Linked DNA regions of Bombyx mori. The protein of the gene in region 1 interacts with the protein of each later gene in a biochemical or structural test. Links are inferred from orthologs where the notes say so. Each region holds a gene or a part of one and is shown on either strand. Other genes may lie near its edges.

Region 1 (13,232 bases):
CCGGGGGTAAAGTTAGCCGTAAATTATTTAAAGTTTAAATGAGCTTTATAGCACCTTATTCCTTATATCTGTGTTCACTTATAAGTTGAGATGGCTACTGCTGAAGAAATCCGTCTAATGGCAAAAAGTGCGAAAAAGAAGAATAACACCTACTCGAGTCAAAGAAGGTCATATTTAAAGATATATCTAACTACTAAAATCCACTATCTATTGACGTCAATCATTAGTGTCTGTTTATGTGTTTGATTTTTTGGTAAAACCTAATTGAAATTTAAGATGTTTTAAAAATAATTTGGTATATAATGGGGATAGTAACGAGTAATCACACTAGGCGTATAAGTTTTGATAATACGTTTGCGATAAATTCGGCTTTAGCATTACAAACAACTATTAAAGGCGAAACCCCTATCGTTTTCGAAAACTTAGCCACGGTAATAAAAACACTTTTTTATTATTATTTATAGTACCCACTTAAAAGTTATTATACTTGATTGATGCTTTCGAACAAAATAAATAATAATAAATGCTTGATTTAATCAACTTTAAAACTACAAAAATTATAATATCGTGTCTTCGGAAATGATGCTGATGATAATGACGATGATGTCTTCGGTAACATTATTAGAATAACAGTTTATTTAAAACCAACAAGAATGGTGGTAGGATGTTGTGAACCTGCAAGAAAATGTTCCAGTATCCCATACATTTCAATAGAGAAGTAATGCCTACTATGTTTTATTTTGAAGGTCGTTTATAAATGTCATTGAGATGTCGAAGTCTAGCTGGGTTTCAACATTTGTGGAGTAATATATGAGCTCTGATAACCCCAAGTTGACTGTGAGCTCATTAGCGTTATAAATCTACACCAGTAATTAATTTTCAGGAAACCGAAAATGAATTAGAATTTAAAGACAAACACATCCCCGGGAACAAACAACAAGGAGATGGAGATTATTGGTCTTGGAGAGTGGAGAACCTCAAAAAAGAGCATCAGCTAATCAATCAAATAATTGAAACCGAGTATGAAAAAAAAATTAATTCTATTAACAGTATTTGCGAACCACCTAAAGTTACTCACGAAAAATTATTGAAACTGAATCCATGCTTCCAAATGAGGACAAAGGTATGACTTCAAACCGATTAAAAAGAACTACAGTCAAACCTGGATAAGCGAGAGTTCAAGGGAGCACAATCCCATTCTCGCTTAAAGAGGTTTCTCACTAACCCGAGTTTCTCGCTAATGCTCCCTCTGAATTTAATTTCGCGATTTTCCGGATTCAAACGCATTCTCTACTTTAAGTTTATCACTTAATGACAGTACTTTAATTTTCCGTTATGACATGATGCAGAACAGAACTTTACTTCGCAATTGATTAACGATAAACTGAGTAAGTCCGACAAACTGGACGGTACACAGGCGCACGTGTCCATTCGAAAAAAATGCGATAAAATAACAACGTTATTTAGTTTCACAAAATAGAATAGGTTCAATATTGACGAGAAAACAATACAAAAACAATGGAAGGAAGTTCTACAAAAGTTAAGAATGAGTCATAAAATAGCAGATGTTAAATTTGTAATTAGTTTTGTCACTTGTTCCTCCTAACTAATATAAATATATAAAGCTCGACTGTCGCTTATAGAGGTATAGATAAGTAGCAGTCTCACTTACGGAAGTCTATGAGGGAAAAACGACTCTCTCTTACAGAGGTTTCTGTTTCTCGCTAATAGAGGTTTTGGGAGCTTAAAATGACGGTTCCTGGCTATTACTCTCACTTATAGAGTTTTCTCACTTATCCAGTTCTCACTTACCCAGGTTTGACTGTATTTATTTAAATTAAATAATCTTGCACCTACATTATCGTAATTATATAAATACTTTGAATTTGTTACTTACCTATTACCTCGAAAATATTTGTAACTTAAGGGTTTTAAGGGAACCATTCCGATATAAAACGGGTTAATTATAGCAATACGCACCTCACGAGACCATTGTGTGCTGCCTTAATTTAGATTGCGGGTTGACGAATACTAATTTGCATAAATAGTTACTAAAACAAAGCTTTTTGCAGAAATAAAAAATCCACTGTAAAGCATAGGTATGTACACATATTATGCATAGAATTTAGTTAAGGATATTTTTTGGGCCCTACCCACCAAACGACTTCCCTTGCACTCTCTCATTCTATGTATGTATGTACGATCCCTCCCGGGGTCAGTAACATTTCTATTGATAAGCAACTTTAGATACATGTAATTATTATTGAGTTAAGTCCATTACACGATTTTTATTTCCACTGCATGATGAAATGATTATTAGTGTTGAAGTTAGGAAAACTTGATTATGGATTGATGTTGAAAAAATTTCAAGATTTCCGGTTTCAAAGGTAGGAAATATTGATACATACCTCAACCTACCCACCTACGTTTTTTTTGTCTAATGACTACATATAGACCCTAATAATAGGTTGGGGAAAATGTTTCTTCGCATTTTTAAAAATAATTCACAACATTTTTTAATTTAGTTTATTTACATTTAACTAAAGTATGTAGGTACCATTTTGTTCGATAGCTTTTTGGCATCTTGTAGGTAGAGACATGATCCCATTGCTATAGAAATTTTGGGGCTTCTGATCAAAATACCACGACAATTGGTTTTGGCAATCTTCTCGTGGTGTTAACCTGACACTGCCTAAAGAATTCTGAAGAGACCGAAACAGGTGGAAATATGAAGGTACAAGGTTAGGACTATACAGCGGATGCATTAACACCTCCCAGCCAAGCTTTCTTAATTTTTGCTGAGTGGCTAAAGATATGTGAGGTCTAGCGTTATCATGATAAAAAACCACACCCTTTTTGTCTGCCTAGTGGTAACAGCTCATAATGAATAATGCCCTTCCAATCCCACCACACACACAGCATCACCTTGTTGCGAGTTAGCCCGGGTTTCGCCACAGTTTGTGAAGCCTGACCGGCCTTTAACCACGACCTTTTTCGCACGTTCTTGTCGTACGTGATCCACTTTTCATCACCAGTTATCAGCTTCTTCAAAAATGGTTCGGTTTCATTACGTCGTAATAAATAATCACAAATGAGTACACGGTTCATTAGGTTTCTTTCAGTGAGCTCGTGAGGTACCCAAATATCGAGCTTTTTTGTGTACGCAGTTTTTTTCAAATGCGCCAAAACTGTTTTGTGGTCAATTCCCAGTTCTTCAGCTACGTCGTAACAACTGATATGCATATCTTGCACCACTTTTTCAAAAATGGCATCCATTTTGTCCGTAATAGGGCGACCAAAGCGACGTGCATCTTTGACATCAAAATTTCCGGATTGAAAACGTTTAAACCGATTTTTTTTATTTTTTTTATTGCTTAGATGGGTGGACGAGCTCACAACCCACCTGATATTAAGTGGTTACTGGAGCCCATAGAAATCTACAACGTAAATGCGCCACCCACCTTGAGATATAAGTTCTAAGGTCTCAGTATAGTTACAACGGCTGCCCCACCCTTCAAACCGAAACGCATTACTGCTTCACGGCAGAAATAGGCGGGGCGGTGGTACCTACCCGTGCGGACTCACAAGAGGTCCTACCACCAGTAAAATTTATGCTACTCTCACAGATACTGCACTAGGTCCATAAAGATCGCAAATTTGTTTCGCGGCTTGCTTTGCATTTTTACCTTTTTTGTAGTAAAATTTTAGAATGTATCGAATTTTTTCATTAGATTCACTCATCTTGACAGTACGAAAAATAAATGAAAATCATACATTTTCCAAATTTGTATTTGGAATTATCTTCTTTAAAATTTAAACTTTTAATGATACCAAAACCAGCCAGATACAAATAGTATAGCCAAAGAGATTTTATTACAAGTTCATACATACTATAATGCGAAAAGACTTTTTCCCCAACCTAAAAAGCGCGAAAAATGCCTTGGTGTACATAGGCAATTCAGACTTCATGCCTAATCGAGGTGGAAATGGATTTAATTTTTGTACTCTGTTCAATTGTACTGTATTCAATTTAAAGATCTTTAAAGGACATTAATTAAACTAAAACAAACATGGCATTACTTTTAAAGTTGAATTAATTTGAAACTAATCATAACGCATGATGTAATTTATGACTAATCATTGGGTATTGATGTCTATAGTAATCTCATATTTTATTTTGGGCCCAAGCGGTTTTACATGTAATGAAGTTAAGCTTAGCTTAAGGCTGCCTGTCCACCGGAGCGGAGTGAGAAAGTAATGGGGAGCGGAGTTTAGTACCTACGCGACGAGTCAGTGCACACTGCAGGCGCGCCTGGCGCCCGCGCCCGCCCTAGCTTCCCCTCTCCGCTGTCTCGCTCCGCTGTCTCGCTCCGCTGTCTCGCTCCGCTATCCCGCTCCGCTTGCCGGTTTTGTATGAAATTTTAAACTACTTAATTCGCAACTAGAGAGGAGACTGTCCACTAAAGAGGAGCGGAGATTTTGTGCAATATTATTGGTTAATATTTCTCTGTTTCTCCGCTCCACTGCCTCGCTCCGCTCCAGTGGACAGGCAGCCTAATTTAGTTGTTTGCACGGCAATTTTTAATACTATTAAGTATTTCATATTACGTAATATAATAATTACTATAATATTACGTACTGTACTATAATATTACGTAATTACTTTCTGTTGTTTTGATCCAGCACCCAGCACGATACTCCAGTCGTCCAAGTAAGTTACTGTAGATATCTTAAAAGGTATATTTTACGTTATTTTTCAATATATTACAGATGATTCAATGCTACACAGAAAATCCACATCAACCTTTAAAGTGTTCGGAAGCTGTTCAGGCTTTTAGTAATTGTGTTGCATACTCAAGAGCTGAAGATTAATTCCAGTATTGCCTAGTCTAGTTTAATATTTTAGTGAAATCATTACCGACAAAAATATTTCATGAGCATATATGTTTTGAAATTTATTGTATAAAGTTACAATTTAATATTTGATCAATGTAAATAAATGTTAACTTTTTTTTAACTATTCAATATCTACGTAACTGTGTGAAAAAGAAATACGTATTTTGAATAATTTGGTGAGTTTTTATTGTTTATCCGATTGATAATATTTCCGAGAGCTGATCAGTAGCGTACAGTTAATATAAGCTATTTACAATATTTTATTTGTTTGCTACAAATTGCATGCAGTATGTACCGACCCTTCACACCATGACATCATATGCTGTAGCTGCTGTTGCCTTAATAATTAACCCATATTACACTGAGTTTGTTGTATTCGAGGTAGGTTACGAAATATTTCACAATAAAACTTAAACTACACCAAGAAATTTGCGAATGAGTTCGTTTTCAGCTTTAAGCACGGTTTTAATATGCCCTGCATTATTTTTTTCATTCTGGAGACCATGCTAGCGATTCCAGCTTCCATCAACATTCGAGGTTTGGGTTCAAATTTCATTCAAATTATCCTTGCTAATTCGGTGTAACACAAGTCTTGCGGATTCTGTGAAACCAGCGCCAAAAGCCTTTCCGTGTTGGACCAGCACCTGCTATCTCCCTATCCAGCTCTTTCCCTATCTGTTACAATTTTATCAGACCAGTCTTCATTTACACTTTTTTTTTACTTTTTCTTAGTAGGTTTACGCATAATAAGACGCAGTCATGACTTATAAATTCATTTGGTGTTTGTGAAAGTGCCAAGTGCGAATCGAATATTACTAGACATGACTTCCCGAGTTTTAATAATTTCTCTAAACTTTGATTTGAAAGAAAGGATTTGGCAGTATGACCTTTTTTCTTTTGCCCACCTACCTGGACAAAACAAACAAATGTCTCGTTAGAAGAGTAAAATTTTGAAAGTTTTGATTCTGGAGTTAGTAAATAAATTAATAATAGTTCGATTTATTATTTGAATTAAAAATTAAATTTAAGTTTAGCTTACAATTGATCTCATATAAATGTTATGATGGCCAGCTTTAACTTGTCGGTCTAGCGATGTGCCTGAGAAAGAAGAACATTTAATAATTATTAGAGGTTTAGAGTTCAGGTTTGAAAATGGCTTTGGTCAACCCATGTGATATGTTTAACGAAAAAACAAAATGCCATACAATTTTGGACAAAATAAATACATTAGACGAGAATGTCGCAACTAAGGTAAAAGATATTAAAAAACATGTAAGTACAAACTGATAACTAAGGTTCTTTTATTCGACTTCAAGTTCCTTTTTGTTTTAGCCACCGGATATTAATGATTTTACAATTGTGAAGCCGATAAGCCGAGGTGCGTTTGGTAAAGTTTTCCTAGCACATAAAAAGAATAACAAAGACCAAATGTATGCCATCAAAGTAATGAAAAAATCTGAAATGATAAATAAGAATATGGTAGCACAAGTTGTGACTGAAAGAAATGCTTTGGCTCTATCTAGGAGTCCTTTTTGTGTTCATTTATTTTACTCACTTCAGTCAATATCATCTGTGTATTTGGTAAGTTTTGATTGATTACTACTAGATTTTATAATACTGAATAAGTATACTATTGTAATGAAAACAAAAACAATGTCTATCAAAAGTTATGCATAATTGATCTTTCCAATGTTTTCCTTTGTCAGGCTATGTAAATACTAATCTTTAAAAGCGAGGACGCTCTTAAGCTGACCCTAGTGATTTATTTTTCAGGTAATGGAATATATGGTTGGAGGTGATTTAAAGTCTCTTTTAGGAGTCTATGGTTTTCTGGAAGAAGCTATGGCTGTCTTTTATATAGCTGAAATAACACTAGCTTTAGATTATTTACACAAACATCACATTGTACACAGAGATCTGAAACCTGATAATATGTTGGTATCAAAAAGTGGTCACGTTAAACTCACTGATTTTGGTTTATCAAAAATTGAGATACATAGAGGTAATTCGAATTTGGGTTTATTATTGTTGTTTAGTTTATTTGTAAATGAAATTATAGTAATAAGAGTAATTAGTTTGGGGTTTCACATCTGATTAACGTCATTCACACAATTTATGTGGGGAAAATGATTAAAATGCAATTTGTCAACATCAAGGAATATTCCTTTTCGGCAATTTATTAAAATTAAAATGTGTAGCATTATGAACAGAATAAATAAATCATCGATAATTCGAATATTGTAAAGATTATTGATAAAAAAAAAAAACACTTTTCTATGAGATGCATATGTTTTCAGTTATATTTGTTTTCTTTTAGATTTAGAAATATCTGATTTCGTAAATAGAACACCAAGTTTAAACATGAGGACACCTGGCCAGCTTCTATCTTTAACTTCACACTTGTCATTTGGCTCTGGCGGGGGAGAAAGCACACACAACTCTGTTATCTCAAGTGATGCCTGTGAGAACCTTCTTGATGAACTTAAAGAAACCTGTATGATTTGTTCTTAATTAAAGAACTGAAAAAAAGAAAAAAAAATTAAATCACTTACACATATTTCATTTTTTTTGTAAAGTGAAATATATTGTCTTGGATCGATTTATTCATAGTAATTTCAAATGTTAGTTGAAATGAAATCTAATGCAATGGATATTTTATAAAATATTTACTGATTATGTTTTTTAAAGGTAAATTAAAGAATTTGTTTGATGGTAAATGTGCATCTGGAAGTTCATCTGCTTTGGACCAGTCACAATTATCAGGAATTCATCCTTTCATGAGTGCAGAAAGTATTAGTTTGGATGAGAATGCTGTAAGAATTTTTTCTTTATAATAGACAGTGTAAATATAAAAGTTTGATATCCGTCACTACTTAACAAACCATTTAATAGATTGTTAAAGTGTAATAATAAATTTAATGCTAAAAGTAAAAAGTAAAAGTATAGGTTCTCAAAAATCAGCATAATATAAAGGACATGCACATGTGAAATGCGGTTTGGAAGTAATAGTAAATATTAATGCATTATTAAGAATGTAAATTAATTGAAAAAGAATTCAATCTTAGTCAGTATTTAACTGATAATTAGGATAAAAAAACATCTTCTTAAATCTGGCCTACAATTTCGTCAGCAGTTAATATGATATATTATTGAATAATATACTTAAAAATATAAAGTGATAAGTTAATTTATTGAAGTTGAACCAGTAAATCATTTTTTAACAATAATGTAACAAAGTAAAATGATATAATTCTAAAGCTTCAGGATTCGAGATCAGGATCTCTTAGTTCATATCATACATGCGAGAGCTCTAAAAACAGCAGCAATTCAAAGCACAGTAAATCCACTGATATCAGCAACAACACTGAGTCGTCAATTGGTGAATCGGTACTATCGGATTCTCAGCACACTCAGCATAATCAATCTACTTCACCTCTCTGCAGAGGACATTCATTGAAACGAATACCAAGGTAATTCAATACAGGTTATTTTAAATTTAGAATAGAGATATATATATAAATTTGTGGAGACGTTATTCTTTTATATTGTGTGGTTTTTTATGTGTTTACTAACGGAAACAATTATTTAATGAAGAATTTACATAAATTTAAGATGATGCAAAAACACCGGTTCCAAAGCTACAACAATAATAAGCTTTTCCCCAATTTGAGCGAACAATGAAATCCATTAAATAAATGAGTTCCCTTGAAACCACAGATCATGATCATCATCTGGTTGTCAAATGTTGCATTGTATTTAATGCAATGTATAATATGTATTCATAGTGGCTATAAATCTAAAATTGCTGGAGTCCGATACAGCAGACAGAACACTGCATACTCTTTGAAATTTCTACTAATATTGGCCTAGATCTAAGAATCGCGTTTTATTTTGAACAATGCTTTTTTTTTGCATAGATGGCTGGACGAGCTCAGCCCACCTGGTGTTAAGTGGTTACTGGAGCCCATAGATATCTACAAGGTAAATGCGCCACTCACCTTGAGATATAAGTTCTAAGGTCTCAAGTATAGTTACAACGGCGGCCCCACCCATTAAACTGAAACGCATTACTGCTTCACGGCAGAAATAGGCGGGGTGGTGGTACCTACCTGTGAGGACAAGAGGCCCTACCACCAGTAAAAATCTTAACATTGCCTTATTTCTGCATGTGAAAATGTATTATGTATAATAAATGCATCGATCCCGCGGATCAGTGGTCACTAATGAACAGGCAGAAGAAACGATCGTCGGCTACTTAAATAAGTGCCAGGGCAGAACTTATCTTTCCTTTAACAGTTTCAGAGCAAAGAAACGCAAGCGAATACTAGACTGTGACGGGGACACTCCGACCGGTGTGACTAGTCTTGCTGAATCGAAAGAGAATCACAGCGGGCTCACACAAGAGATAATGGCTTTAGAATTGACTCAAAACACGCCGAAACGAATGTCCCTACATCCAACACCTGACAGAAGGAAGAATCCTCTGAAAGGTGTCTTGAAAAAAAGGTATTTTTTTATTTGTTATATTTTGATTTTAGGTGAAAAAATGTCCCCCCTTATTAAAATTAAATAATTTTTTGGCATTCATGCGTTGTGTCCGAACATAAACCGTGGTCTCACATGTTAGTCGTGGTCTGTTAGTGTTGTGTTGGTTAGTGTTGTTGTTGTGACAAACAGACAAGCATGTAGTAGTTCTCATAGCAAACCTTCCAATCTCCAAGACAAGAGGTCTTGGCAAAGTCGGAAGGGCTTTCAGGCCAACAACTATCCTTCGAAACAAAAAATAATATTTTTTATAATTAAGTTCAGAATTGTCAGACAATATGAGTGTAATAATTTTCGTCTGAAATAAATGCATCCATCAAATCGACAACAGTCAGTTGCTTGGCTGTGCCCCTGACGTTACTGATGTCCATGAGAATTATTATTGCTCGCTGTAGGAAAAATAAATATTTTAAATTAAAATGCTTTATATTTCTTCATAGATGGGCTTCACAAAACGACAGTCATCACTTTAACGTGGGAGTAATATTCTCAACACCAGTTTCAAATAATAAATCTGAAGCGACGAAGAAAAGGACGAAGGAGACCCGTTTCAACCTACCAAAGGATGATCTAGTTGATTCTCTAGATACAAAAAAGTGTGTCGTCTTTGGAAAACATATTTCGAATAGTTTGGAGATGTTTCCTGTGCGGAGATTAAGTAAAGTACGTAGGTACTATATATACCATACAAATATACAAGATTATGTATTACATATTTTCAATCAAAAAAAATGAAATATAAATTATTAGTGAGTTGATAAATCTCTTTTTTTATTGTTTTGATGTGTGGACGAGCTCACAGCCCACTTGGTGTTAAGTGGTTACTCAGTATAGTTATTCAGTATAGTGTAAAATCTTTCAGGGGGAAGGATGTAAATCGCCTACAGAAATGTGCAAGACTCCATTAGCAGCTGCGCACACGCCGTACAGGACCCCCAAGAGTGTTAGAAGAGGCAATCTTATATCAGACCAAAGAATTCTGGGAACGCCTGATTATTTAGCACCTGAATTACTATTGAAGTAAGATTTTTTAATTGACATCGATTTTAAGTTCAGAAAGAACCTCAATTAGAGTTAAAGTTAATACATACTATATGTTGAAATACAAACTAAATTGAGAACCTCCTATTAAAAAACCGACTTTCTACACCATGTTTTATTTGTTGTCTATAAATGCAAAAAGACAAGTCTCTGTATTCTTTGCATTGCAGGTTCATCGAATATTAAAGGTTCGTTATAAGTATTAATTATGGATACTGATATGATATATGAATGATCGAATTCTTAATCATGTAGGCAATTCCACTTGATAATAGAACGAATTACTATTTTCCATTAAACATAGGCAGTACAGTAGTATAATATAATCAGTGCCTAGTGATCTAATAAAACATTAATTATAATTGTTACGACATCAGGCAAGGCCACGGGCCGCAAGTCGATTGGTGGGCTTTAGGAGTCTGCCTATACGAGTTCATGACGGGTGTACCACCTTTCAACGACGAAACACCGCAAGCTGTCTTCAAAAACATACTGTCTAGAAGTGAGTATAACAATACTTATGATGTGACAAAATACTAAAAAAAATGGTGTCTTTTAATTATTATGTTTGTAAACTCGAATCGAATGATCTATTAAAGACAATTTTTCGGTTCACAATATGATAACATGATACTGATTATAAGTACTGGGTGTTTGGAGACCGTTTCTGAAAAGGAAAATTTTGCCTACAAAGCTATAAATTTTGGGGAGTGTGGTATCAGCGCCGCGCCGGTGTGCGTGTAAAAGAAAAGCGCGCCCGGGCGTTCGTTGATCCGAGCATCAGCTGTTTTTGATTTTGTGTTTCATTGCTGGTTTTAATAAAAAGTATTAATAATAATTAATGTATTTTTTATGAAACTATCATTTCATTTAGCCGACTAACTTGACGGAGCGTAAACAATGCGTTTAAAAATATGTTTTTTTTTTTAAATCAGCATCGATTTTTTTTCCTTCCCATCATCAAAGGTGTCTTTAGTAGTACTCTGTCTTCGGAAACGATCTCCTAATACCCAGTATAGGCACACAATAAATGAAATCCAAATTTTTTATTGTCATATAAGCGTACTTTGTATTTTGTATTCCAGATATCGAATGGCCAGAAGGTGACGAAGCGTTATCGCCCGAAGCTGTGAGTTCTATCGAGGCTCTACTGACGATGGAGCCGGCGGAGCGCCCGGCCGCCGCCGACGTGCGGGCCATGCCCTTGTTCAGAAACGTTGACTGGGAGAACCAACTCAACACGGAACCGCCATTCGTTCCCACGCCCGACGATTTACATGACACAGGATACTTCCAAGGTACACTACAGACAACGTTAGCTCCTTAAACAATTGTATTATGGGGGAATCTGAATGCGGGAATTGTGGTAGCCGAAGTTCTTGATGCGCTGATGATGTAGTGTGAAGACTGCAGTTGTTCCGTCGCAGGTCACCCATATAGGGATACACGACGGCGGGAAGATTTTACACCAAGCGTGTGATATTTTGCTCGGTAGACCGACGATCCAAATGTTTTTTTTTTTATTTCTACCTATGCTGATAGCCTTGAGAGGCTATTTCAGCGTAACCTTAACTAGTAGGTGAGCTCACGGGGCACAAACCTGACGACGTTGCTAACACGAACCCTAGCAAGACTCGTGCTTCACAGAATCTACCACCGGATCGGAAACGCGACCCACTGAGAAGATCCGGCGAGAAACTCAGTGGGCTGTGTCTGTGGGATAATTTTCTCGTCGAGACCTTCGTCGCAAGCGACGGGTTCGACGAGAACGATGACCGGTCCCACATGTTGTCGTTCGGAACTTGTATATATGCAAGCTTATCTTGAAAATGTCGTAAGCGAGATTCAGGCATCTGTCAAATATCTTGTGTTCTGTGATGACTACCGCCACAGCTTAAAGAATATTTTTGTAAAAACAACTATAAAGAAATTGAGAAATGTCGTAATAATAGTTATTTTAAAAAAATATTGCACAAAGTAGGTGCACAGCAGAAACATCTCTTTCGCATGTCTGCACATAAATAGAACTAACGTCATGCTACTCAATGTGCATTATTTTTCTTATTTCGACAACTACCCACACGAATCTGAAAAGAATTTACGTTACTTATTTTTGACGAAATTCCTATATTTATTTCTATTTAAAAATTCTAATTTACATTCAATTGTAAATTATCATCATTTAACTAATAACTTTTTGTTTCAGCCCGCAATATTTTACAACAACTCCAAGTATCAAATTTCGACATATAATTTTAAATGTTCATGATAAACCTTTAACTAGTTGAGAATGTTAGCTGCATAATAATGATCAGCGTGTTAATCTATATGAAAAGTATAAATGTTATAATGTATTTATAAATAACGTTGTAATAAAATTATATTATTAAGTCCTTTATTCTGAAGACTGATTTTGTGTCATTATTATTAACAATATGTATTATCGTTTCAGAACAAAAAATGTATCTTTCACAGCATAGGTGCTTCAATTATATGAATAAATTTAATCTAACACAAAATAAAACGATTATTGAAAAGTTTACGTATTTTATTTTAGAAACTTAAGCTAAATTGGCACATTTCGTTGTCAAAATAAAATATCAATTCATTGAGAAAAGCAAGCTTAAGGTTGTTTTTCTCAAAATAATTGAAATAAAATATTTTTATGTTTTTCATAACGGCATCCAATTTTCTACCGTTATAACGTTTTATATATTTTCCTCACTTGGAGTTCTTCTGTATCCAAGGTA
Region 2 (11,624 bases), about 7.3 Mb from region 1:
TAGGGCATGACTATTAACTCTATCCTACCCTTGAGAGAGATTCATCAGAGCAAAATCAACCCGGTGTGTGACATTTAGTGCGACAGATAATTGATAGTAATGAGATTGGACTTTAGAAAAAGACACTCTACCTACATAACAAGAAATATTTTCACCATGTTGATACTTAGTAAAAAATAGATGCAGGAAACAAAGATGCCCATCTTTACATTAATTACATTTTTCATTTTGCATAGTGATGAAGTGGTGGAATTCACATAAGAATATCTATGTCTGTCTATGGAGTGCAGTAAGCACTTAACACAAAGTAGGCTATGAGATGATGATATGATGATGAAATGGGTATCTGTGCAATAAACAAAAAAGGGAAGATATTTCATGGAGTGAGTGGTTGAAACTTGTATATAAGCTTGTTTTCTAAATATCATTGCAAATCAGATTTTTACAATACTTCTATTCTGTTTTAAATAATGCTGCAAGATAAATTTAAGTACAATAATTAACTTTGACTTTAATAGATTATAGAAATATTATAAGTACATACCTGATGCAGCTTTAATTTTATAATGCGAACCACTTGCATTGATTTCTCTGATTATTGTAATGTGATCGCCATAAATGTGACGTTTGTATGCTCTAGAACTACTGTTTCTCAGTTGAATCTCAATGGTTGCTGAATTTGCTCCACGCCTGATTAAAGCTGAAATAGAGAAATATGTTTTCTTAAGTTTTTACTTAGTTGTGGATTTGATTAAAGCTTTTATTATTTATTTTCAAAACTCAGGCAATTCTGAACATAAAACTATGAAATATTTGGAATTTCTGAATTATGATTAATTTACACAAATTTAAACCATATTTACTAATTTTAAAGATGTATTGTCAATCATATAAATTATAGGTTACTTGTAAAACATAGTACCTACCTAATGCACATATAAATGTTGGTTGTAATTGTTGGTCTCTAATTGAAATTTTGGCTTGTAATTCCATTTTTAAGCCTTTGAAATTGTAGCATTGGATACATCAAGTTTTAATTGTAAGTAAAAGAAATTTAAAGCAATTTCATTATGCGTTACATATTTAACATGTTAATTTTAATTCGGTCTTAAATGACCAATGTTGTCATAAATGGCGCGAAGACTTTCAAGTTCTTAGTTAACGTTTCAATAAAATACTCACATTGCACATTATTTCCTCTGTAAGTTATATCAGCTCTGCTGCCCAAGCCAATCACTAATGCAGATAGAATAGCACTTTTTCCACATCCGTTACGACCAACGATAAAATTTACGTTTCTGTTAAACTTTATTTTCAAATTTTCGAGACAAAACCAGTTACGCATATGAATACTAATAATGGTACCATCATTTTCTTCATTTGTGTCTACTTCCATAGTTAATATTAAATCATGAACTTAGATTATGTAGGTTACCATTTAATTACTTTAAACGAGAAAACAATGAGTGAGCAGTGAGCAGTGAGAGAAACATATATTTTATAACCGAGTCAAACTTAGTAAATGACAAATGACAATGACAAGTGTTTAATCTATGACAATGACAAAGGGCGACATGCTGTTACAGCTGATTACTACTGACTAATTTAATGATCTTGCAAGTTGATCACTTTTATTACTTATCAAATTTACTTTCATCCATAAAAACTCTACTTTCATAAATTTACGTTCTAGCAAAACAAATTTAAAATCAAGCAAAGAAAAATAATAACAATGTTTTACCAATATAGAATAAACAAGCAAACCCAAGCAAAAGATTCCTTTGCTCAAAAATTGTGAAAATTTGCTCCTAAGAAAAATCAAAACTAAAAAACAATAAACGCCATTTTTGTCAGTTAAATTTTGTTGAAGAGAATGAAACAGGAAAAGAGACGATCCAAACTAAAATCGTGAAAATCTGAGCATAGGAATTCTATAGTACTATACCGATACTAATTCGGGATTCCTTTATTCTCTACTAACTTTGAATAAAAAGTGGTTTTGTAGCAATTTTTGAAGTTAATAGGCCTGTCAATAAATACATAAAGGTAGGCCTTCAAACGTGCCTTTACATACCTGTTTTTTTTTAATTTGTTTGAAATAATAATTATTAAAAAGATTACCATAATCGTTCACAAGCGCATGGAAGCCTAAAGAGTGTCTAGAGTGTAAATGTATTTAGACTTAGTCGTAAAATATTGAAATCTATAGATTTATTTGTATGATATCTTGTCACATCATCAGAGAAGTTGTTAAAATAAACCAATGTTTTAAAATGTATAAGCTACATTCTTAATATTTTAATTAAACTTATTTTTAGAAAGCAACATGAGTGACTCACCAGACCAGAATGATCCACCAAAAGATGTAAGTAGATAAAATCGTAGAATGTTCTTGAAACCTAAACCTAATTTCCAGGCGTAATAAACTATTTTTGAATAAAAAATGATAGCTGATTTAAAAATACTTTGCAATACTGTAAATTAATTATACCTAGAAAGACAGTTCATCAAAAAATTATCCTTAGATACTTGTTTGTTTGTATATTATTACACTGAACAAATAACCTTGCAAACAAAACAGTAAATCAATAATAATAATAATCCATGTGTGTAAATTGGTTCTTATTGATAATAAATACTATAACAATGTATCAATTGATTGTAACAATTAACCATTAAAGTAGTGTAATTATATTTTTTTTATTTTTATTTCTTAGATGTGTGGACGAGCTCACAGCCCACCTGGTGTTAAGTGGTTACTGGAGCCCATAGACATCTACAACGTAAATGCGCCACACACCTTGAGATATAGTTCTAAGATCTCAGTTTAGTCACAACGGCTGCCCCACCCTTCAAACCGAAACGCATTACTGCTTCACGGCAGAAATAGGCGGGGCGGTGGTACCTACCTGTGCGGACTCACAAGAGGTCCTAGGTAGTAAAAAATGTTATGTATACAACTTGTGAAAACCAAAGAATACTAAACACCTTATCTAATATCTACACAACCAAACAATTAACCAGGAGCACAATTATTCGTTTTCTCGCATGAAAACTGTATAATCTCAAAGCTTACTAAATTTTACGGGAGAGCATTTTAAAGGTTTAACATATGATTTTTTAATATTAATCATCTTTGCAACATTTATTTTTTAGTTTTTACCAGTTACATTATCTGTCTTTTAATACTTTAAAAGACAGATAATGTAACTGGTAAAAACTAAAAAATAAATGTTTAGATAATTATAATGTTTAGATAAAGATAATTATAATGGTACTAGTATTGGATATATATTGACTATTAAGTAGGCAAAATATAGGTAAACTAAAAAAAAAACTAAAACTAAACTACGCTCTTTTGACAGTATTTATGAGAAAAATACTGGTGATACCAAATGATTCCGCATATTAACTCAATTCCAAATATTTTTGGAAATTGTACACTTTTAATGCGAAAAGACGAATTTATTGCCTCATCGTCATTGGATCAGAAATTATGATAAATCTGTATCTATATACTTTATTTACATAATTCATGCTTATCAAACCTGATAAATTTGAATTTGATCAGATTCTGGTTAGCAGCATCAAATATGATATCCGATACATCATAAATGCTCTGCCATATTTAGGAAAGAATCAACACCCTCTTCAGTAGTAACTTTCTGAATACATACTCAAAATCATGGAATCACTTGACACCAGTGCCAGGTGCCAGTGAGCTTGTTCACCCACCTAAGCATTAATAAAAATAATTGTTTACTGATATAACTGTGTCCACATTTTTTTGTTGTTGCTTAGAATGGTGGACGAGCTCACAGCCCACCTGATGTTAAGTGGTTACTGGAGCCCATAGACACCTACAACTGGCTACCACCAGTAACTACTCAAATTATCACTTTGCGGGTTTGATTTTTATTCTTCTTCTTCTTCTTTGTCGCTTCCACATTACTGAGGGTCGTGACCACCTTGGTCCAGTTTTTGCACTAGCTTCCTCCAATGTTGCCCGCATTCGGCCTGCTTCATGGCCTTATTTTTATTACACGATGTTATTGTTCCTTCACCGTGGAAGTCAATCGTGAACATTTGCTAAGTATGTATTTCATTAGAAAAATTAGTACCCGCAAGTGGGATTCGAACACCAATGCATCGAAAGATACAAATGCACCGAACGTTTTATTAATTTAGACCACGACGACTTCATAGTTGTAGTCTTCATAGTAGCAATAGGTGTGTCAAATGTTTCATAATTTTTTTTTCCTTTCTCAGCTTTCTTATGCAAAAATTCTTAAACAAACTTCTTAGGAACAAATATTTTATATTGTAGTTTTGTAATTGAACTGTTTTACTGTTAAATTAATTGACCATAATTGTTTATTTTTTGTCAATAAATTTTAATTATTGCAATATTTTTTTATTTCAGCCAAAAGAACTAGAAAAACTGGAAGAGGCAAAATTAAAAGCGAAATTCCCTAATGCGATGCTGGGTAGAGGGCCCAGTGGTCATTCTGCATTTCTGCAAAAAAGACTAGCCAAGGGAGTATGTATTTAACTATTTATTAACACTGAGAAACTTTTACTGTTAGTTTACTTTTTAGTTATAGTTCATTTTTTCTAAACGCTTGTTCAATTTTCAGCAAAAATTCTTTGATTCTGGCGACTATCAAATGGCAAAGCAGAGACCAGGCAACTTAGCTGCACCATTTAAGGCTCCAGCTGCACCAGCAAAGTTGCCTACTGGTGATGCAATCCCTACTCCTGAAACCGTACCATTAAGGAAGACTTCCATCATTCAGCCAAAATACACTACACCAAGTCAGACATCCTAGCCTTGTATCACTATGAATCCACATTACAATTGCAAAAAGTTAATATTGAAGAACACATCATAAAAAACATTTATTCACTATTTACATACTGGAATGTATAGTGTAGTCTATTTTCATTTTATCATCTCATTAAGAATAAAACACAGACACATTTCTAAAATAATTGAAAACCTTGAAGTAATCATACTTTTATCCACCATTTAATAGGACCTAAATAATGTCCTTTTATTTAAAGTGTGATGTGTTCTTTGGTACTGGTTGCATAAAAATTCAAATTTGTGATTGGGATCAGTTTAATTAAATTAAAATTTCATTTATTTTCTTTAGAAATGTGTCCATTAGAATCTGTACTGTTAATATAGTTTGTGAGAATGAGTTAGTTATTGATTATAAATAATCTGATGATTTTAGCATTTGAATCATAAGCACTCATTCTCAAAAACGAAGTTAAGTGGTAGTGCCAATGATACCTGAACACTACAGCAATGAATAATATTTAACCATGATATTGCATTAGTATCAAAGTAACACCATTAAGTCAGCCGAAGCAGGGTTTCTTACTTTAGGCTCTCACTGTGTGTATGGATATCCACTATGGCTTAGTTCTTGTCATGAAAAATGAATTTAGTGACATAACAAGTGTATATGCTTCATTCTGCAAAATTAAAACTGTTCTCAGCTATTATAGTGAACATTATTAGTTTTCCAGCTTTGGTCCTTATGTTATCTATTAATATGTATGAGTGTGATCGTTACATTAAGGATATAATTACTTCTTTCAAATTAGTAGTGTAAGTTCAGCTAATGTTACAATAGCACTAGCCTGATTATTACTTAGATAGCTATTTTTGTATGTATATTCTGAATAACTAACTGTCCTTTGTAATGTTAATATTTTAAAATCATTCAAAATTTGAATATATATAATGATTAACATTACGATTAGTTTTTTTGCAGCTTGGCCATCACTGAATGCACTACGAACATATTATATTTGTTTTTCTTATATCACAAGATTTACTGTAACATTATGCTATAACATGTCATTTTATCAAACATTTAGTACATAAATTGGAATGTGAAAGCATGTGAAATAACTGAAAATTATTTTCAGTCCATGTATATAAAAATGCCATAATGAAGGTTTATGAGATGTATTGATTCACTGCTCTCTGATGAGATGCATACTGTTAATTGTAAATTTAAAATATACCTTGGAGTCTTTCCTTTGTTATTTAAGATACTCATAATGTCAGTTGCATCAGAGAATCGCATACATAATGCGCGAAATACATAATGTGAAATACGAAGGTGATCGTGTAAAGATTAAGATGTTGAATAATTAGTGATTATTGAAAATAAAACAGATCTTGGGTAAAAAAAAAGCTCGTTTTATTTGAACAAGGCGTCACGGCAGCGGCGGCCAGGGTATAAATGAGATTACATAATGGCACTTGGTTATAAATTAAATTGTCAACGTCTTAGAATTATAGATTTGACGACTCATCTTTGGCATTCTTCTTTAAACTCTGCTGGTGATGAGCTTCGTGATATGAATCCAACATTCCGTCGCCTGTATGTGTTATATTTGGCTGCTCTCTGTAAAAAAAGAAATATACGGTTTCTCATTCATGTGTGTAACGAGGTAATAGTACACACAGTACGGTCATGCACTCCTCTACTGTAAGACGCGTAGCCACGAGGCAGACCATGTGTACATACGAGTCGAGTTTAACACTGTCAGAGGTCGCGCACATCAATCATTGTTCAACGATATTCTATATAATTCGATAATTGTTAAAATAAAACTAATTCAAAATTACGGAACTAGGTACTTAAATATTTTTCTAAGAATAATATTTCATTGTAATGAAAAAAAAAGGGCAAAGGGAGCATGGTATATTACAAAAATGAATAGTATGATCAGAATTAACACAAAACATCAGTGAAAAATCCGCCTGTTCGTGTTGTAACGAAGGTCCTTTATTGCGGTGGAGATATAGTACGGAGTTTCAAGCTTTTACTTCCATTGTACGCATGTTATTTATTGACCCCACTGGGATCAGATCAACCGAGCATCTGTGGTGGTAGTGAAACTAGCTTACGGACCCTTAAAGAGTCCCTTAACGATCAAGCTGCGAAACTGTTGTTACTCATTGGAATTACCAAGATTTGAGTCTTTTTTTTTTATTGCCCTTGTAGGCAGACGAGCACACGGCCTACGTGATGGTGAGTGGTTACCGTCGTTCATGGACTTCAGCAATACCAGGGGCAGAGTCAAGTCGTTGCCTTTGTCACGTCTGGTTATGAGTGGTGCGGTGGAGACGCGGACCTGGGTTCCAGTGCACGTAGTCGGGCGTGGCGGCGGCGCGGTACTCGTGCACCAGCTCGTCCACCACGCCGCGCGACGCGTCCAGCTCGTCCAGCGACTCGCGGAACATGGGCTCCTTGCGGAACACCTCCAGGAACGCTTCGCGCTTGCGCAGCTTGTCGAATTGTTGCAGACATCGATCGAACAGCTGCAATCACTCGTTTAATTATCTATATGAACTAGCCATACTCGTCCGCTTCGCTGGGCATTTAAAATTAACATTATTATTTATTGTCATTATTATTAGGGAGTCCAACACTCATATAAATATTAGTCTATCCATTAAGTACATGTATTTTCTACATTGATACCATGTTTCAAGTCGATCGGATGCACGGTTCAGTAGTTAAAACGGAACATCCGTAAAACCACTGTAGATTTATATATTAGTATAGATGTGAAGGCGCGTTCGTGAAACTGCAGTCTGAGGATTTGAGATCACAACTACAACTAGTTTTACTTTATTACTATTTAACATGAAACGCGAAATGTGCTCACTGTGTGCTCCTGCGGTCGGTAGAATGTTGATAATATTAAATTGTTACAATATTTAAAATGTTACAATTAGCGTCGAGTGAAAACAGCGCGGTTTACCAACTTTGGTAAACCAAAATTAGCAACCAGGATCTAACACTTGATGTTAAGTGGTTACCGGAGCCCATAGACATCTGCAACGTAAATGCCGCCACCCACCTTTAGAGATGAGTTTTAAGGTCTCACTTTTAACAGTACAATGGCCGTCTCGCCCTTCAAACCGAAACACATTACTGCTTAGCGGCAGAAATAGGCGGAGCGGTGGTATCTACCCTACTGCAGAACATGACATCCCACTAGAATCCTAGATGTGGGCAATGTGGGTCGATAGTAGAGGAAGTGCACCGACCGAGGAGATGTTGGTGTGGTTGGCGAGCAGCAGGCCCGACACCTTGTGCGCGGCCGTGACGTGGGGCGAGCGCCGCGAGAGCGCCACCTGCACGGACGCCGGCCCCCACGGGATGAAGGCGGCCAGGCGCCGCTCGCGGATGCGCTGCAGCGACTTGTGCACCTGCGACGGCTCCACCTCGCCCTGCAACCACGTCAGTGCTGACCTTTATACACCTTATATAATGTATTGTGGTGTGGTCAGTGTGCTTAGTGCGAGTTTCTTAACGTTCTCGATAGCGTAAAAGTTAACCCAATTTTGTATGCAGTTGGAACAGCGCCCCTAGCGGCAAACGTACGCAAACGATCTCATTCCATACAAATATGAGATAACTTTTACGTTATCGAGAACGTTAAAAAACTTGCACTAAGCACACTGGTCACGACGGATTAGAAGAGAGTAAATAATACGTCCGTTCAGTTTGAAGGTCCGGTTTATTGTGCCATAAGACGGTGGTGCTGAAGAAGCACTTTAAATAAGGCTGTATACATACTTGAGTGTTTACACACTACAGTATCAACACGAAGATCACCTCCAGTTGCCTCAATATAAACCAATTTGCTGGGACTGCATACCAGGTATGATTCAAAGAGAAACTCACGGCACAACAATATTGTGTAATCTGCTATTAGACATCTGATTCTATTCTATTATTTTATTGTGTGTGAATTATTTTATCACATAACTACTGTCGTCGCCTGGCTTGAGACAGAAAAGTTAACTCAAATTTGTATGCAGTTGGAATGTTTCCCTAGGTTTGCCGCTAGGGGCGCTGTTTCAACTGTTTATCAAATTTGAGTTAACTTTTACGGTATCGAGAACGTTAAAACACTCGCACTAAGCACACATATAATTAAAATAATAAACGCGAAATGAAGCCGCTCGTGGTTGCGGACGATTGAGACGTCATTCGTCGACATTTGACACTATACATACCCTAGTAACTGATGTCAGTTTGACTCACCTGTATAATGTTCAGTATGGATATGTAGCAGTGTTGGTTGGCCCTGTCCGGACTGAGCGACACCATCATGTTCTTGGGCTGTAACAGCCGCTGCATCACGTCTAGTACTGTCGTTTTGCGAATTTTCGGAGCCTGCAAGCAACAAACCAGAATTCACGAGCGTTCCGGTGTAAATTTCCTAACACACACATTCAGTTGTCTCTTTCTCTGGTTTCGACACCTAAAATTAATATTCGGCAAGACATTGTTCTACGTGATTTCTGGCAGATAGGATGATCCACTTTGATCAGGAATTAACTTCAGTTGAAATGTTTATGTTCAGAATTTATAGTACAACTGATTCAGGGTTCCAATAACGTTTCTTTGTTTTCCTTGCCCTCATCCCACCACGTGGGGTCGGCGCTGCGTGTCTTCTTTTTCCATCATACATCATCTTTGCAATCGCACTCTTCTCTTGCATATCCTCTTTCAAACTTTCCATCTAAGTCTTTTCCAATTTTATACTACTACTGGATTTAAAAATGCTAATTACTATTGGCAAAACTCACTGCGGTTTGTTCGTGATCGGCAGAGAGGGGCGTGTACCCAGTCATGAGGAAGTGCAGTCGAGGGGTAGGAATCAACGGCGCCACCAGACTGATCAGGTCATTGTTCATGTATGACGGATACCTGCAGGAATAACAAAACTTTGATGTCGTCTTCATCAACTAGTATAAACATTCTTTTTATAAAACAAATTAAAAATATTCTTCTTTAACTGCTTGTATGGAAGAACGAGCTCTAGGTTATGCAAAACAGTTACAGAAGCCAAAGACATCGTGAATGCCGCCACCCACCTTGAGACATGGACTGGGGCTCAAGTCATTGGTCTACAAGACTACAAGTACACATGTAAACAACGAACAATACCAAACACTGCACAACGAGGATTTTATGAAAAAGTTTATGAAGAAGACCTTAAACAAAAAGTACATTGAAACTTATGAAAAAAATTCATACTTGTAATGTACCAATACAACAAATAGTATTTCATTTATTAACATTTTAATGTAACTTTTGAATATGTAAATAAAGTCGGCTAATTATAAAAAAGTCATAAATGTACAGAGAGGGGAAATTACCTCAAGGTAGCAGTGCTTGCACTCATAATAGTAGACACAAGCGTGTTGATCTGTGCAAATGATGGGTTCTGTATGTGGAGGCGGTCACTGGCAATGCGATTCAATGCTGTATTATCCAGAACCATCACGCAGTCTGCACTCTCAGTGAGACGTTTCAAAGTTAACAAAGAGTTGTATGGCTGAACTACGACATCACTGAAATATATGGCATTAAATTAATGCATAAAACATTTCATGAAAATCATCCTTATTATTATTATTAATACCATCATGTACATTATACACATAATTGGTAAATTTTTTAGAAATTGGGATAAAAGTATCTGAAAATTACATTCTGCAGATATGCTATGCAACACTACCTCCATGACTTACAAACATTTTCATGCATTCATAGTCTCTGCACCTGATTTTATAATTCCCACATTCCCCAAGCCCAAGTTATTCATATAATTGTAATTGTATTTGTACAGTAGACAGGCTAAATAAATATTAACACCCATAATACATTTTCAATCTAATTGATGACAATATATCTAGTAATCTATCTAAAAGCATGTACCTAGAATGTATCTGAATTTACATTTATGGATAAAGATAAAGAAATAAGGTAAAATTCTTGGTAAAAGTAAATTCAACCACTGAGACATCAAATATGTATCTTGCCTTTTTGGCATTATAGATTTTATCTATGTAATTTTTTGAATGTAATTACTACATACCTTATTTCATCTAAGTTTGGGAAGACACTGTATGTCTGAACAAGTTTCTTAGGAAACCTATCAGACAGGTGTTCCAGTATATATGAGCCCATCCCTGAACCTGTACCTCCTGCTATTGAGTGACATAAAACAAAGCCCTGTAGAGAGGAAAACACTGTTTAATTTTATCTCAAAACATTTACTAAAACTTTTAAATCTAACAATATAGAAAACTCTTCTTTATAACATTTTACAAATGAATCTCTGAGTTCTTGAGCCTTAAATAAAGATACCAAGAACTCAGACATTAGGCCAAGTGAGCATACAAGAAACATTAAGGAATTTTTCCACTTCCATTCTGATTTACCATTCTACTACCATTCTGATTTATAAAAAAAATTAATATTATTATTTAAACTACTAGTCATGTTGATTTAATAGTAGAATTGATACATTAGATACTTATAAATTTAATGGTTTAATACTCATTTAGAGACACACTGTATGGATATCATTCATTCTGAATATTTTTAACTATTTAATATTTTTAAATATAATAAAACATTTCAGAAATTCACTTGTACTTCCTGTGCCTTACCTCAAGGTTATCACTCCCATCAGCCTCTCTGTTGATTATATCAAATACTTCCTCATTCAATTTCTCCCCCTGAGCATATCCTGAAGCCCAGTTGTTCCCTGCACCCCCACCATGTTTA

The links.
Region 2: of the proteins of serine/threonine-protein kinase greatwall (region 1) and cAMP-regulated phosphoprotein 19, one has a biochemical effect on the other in vitro, tested with the Drosophila melanogaster proteins (2 studies listed by BioGRID). The link is inferred for Bombyx mori from reciprocal best matches to the Drosophila melanogaster genes gwl and endos.

Annotation. Positions count from the first base shown.
Region 1 is NC_085111.1:9,215,663-9,228,894, reverse strand, and holds serine/threonine-protein kinase greatwall, read left to right. Parts: upstream 1-5,817; 5' UTR 5,818-6,048; coding exon 6,049-6,147; intron 6,148-6,228; coding exon 6,229-6,477; intron 6,478-6,669; coding exon 6,670-6,898; intron 6,899-7,213; coding exon 7,214-7,390; intron 7,391-7,584; coding exon 7,585-7,709; intron 7,710-8,154; coding exon 8,155-8,366; intron 8,367-9,192; coding exon 9,193-9,402; intron 9,403-9,881; coding exon 9,882-10,104; intron 10,105-10,303; coding exon 10,304-10,461; intron 10,462-10,859; coding exon 10,860-10,984; intron 10,985-11,567; coding exon 11,568-11,780; intron 11,781-12,688; coding exon 12,689-12,735; 3' UTR 12,736-13,019; downstream 13,020-13,232. Other genes in the region: uncharacterized protein LOC134198921, read left to right, coding at 303-431, 884-1,123, 4,771-4,872; proclotting enzyme, read right to left, coding at 13,204-13,232.
Region 2 is NC_085111.1:1,893,617-1,905,240, reverse strand, and holds cAMP-regulated phosphoprotein 19, read left to right. Parts: upstream 1-1,584; 5' UTR 1,585-2,046; exon of another isoform or gene 2,047-2,166; intron 2,167-2,318; 5' UTR 2,319-2,326; coding exon 2,327-2,365; intron 2,366-4,423; coding exon 4,424-4,540; intron 4,541-4,637; coding exon 4,638-4,829; 3' UTR 4,830-6,214; downstream 6,215-11,624. Other genes in the region: structural maintenance of chromosomes protein 6, read right to left, coding at 545-700, 1,183-1,396; tubulin gamma-1 chain, read right to left, coding at 6,412-6,428, 7,162-7,348, 8,084-8,266, 9,087-9,218, 9,635-9,755, 10,208-10,402, 10,930-11,066, 11,507-11,624.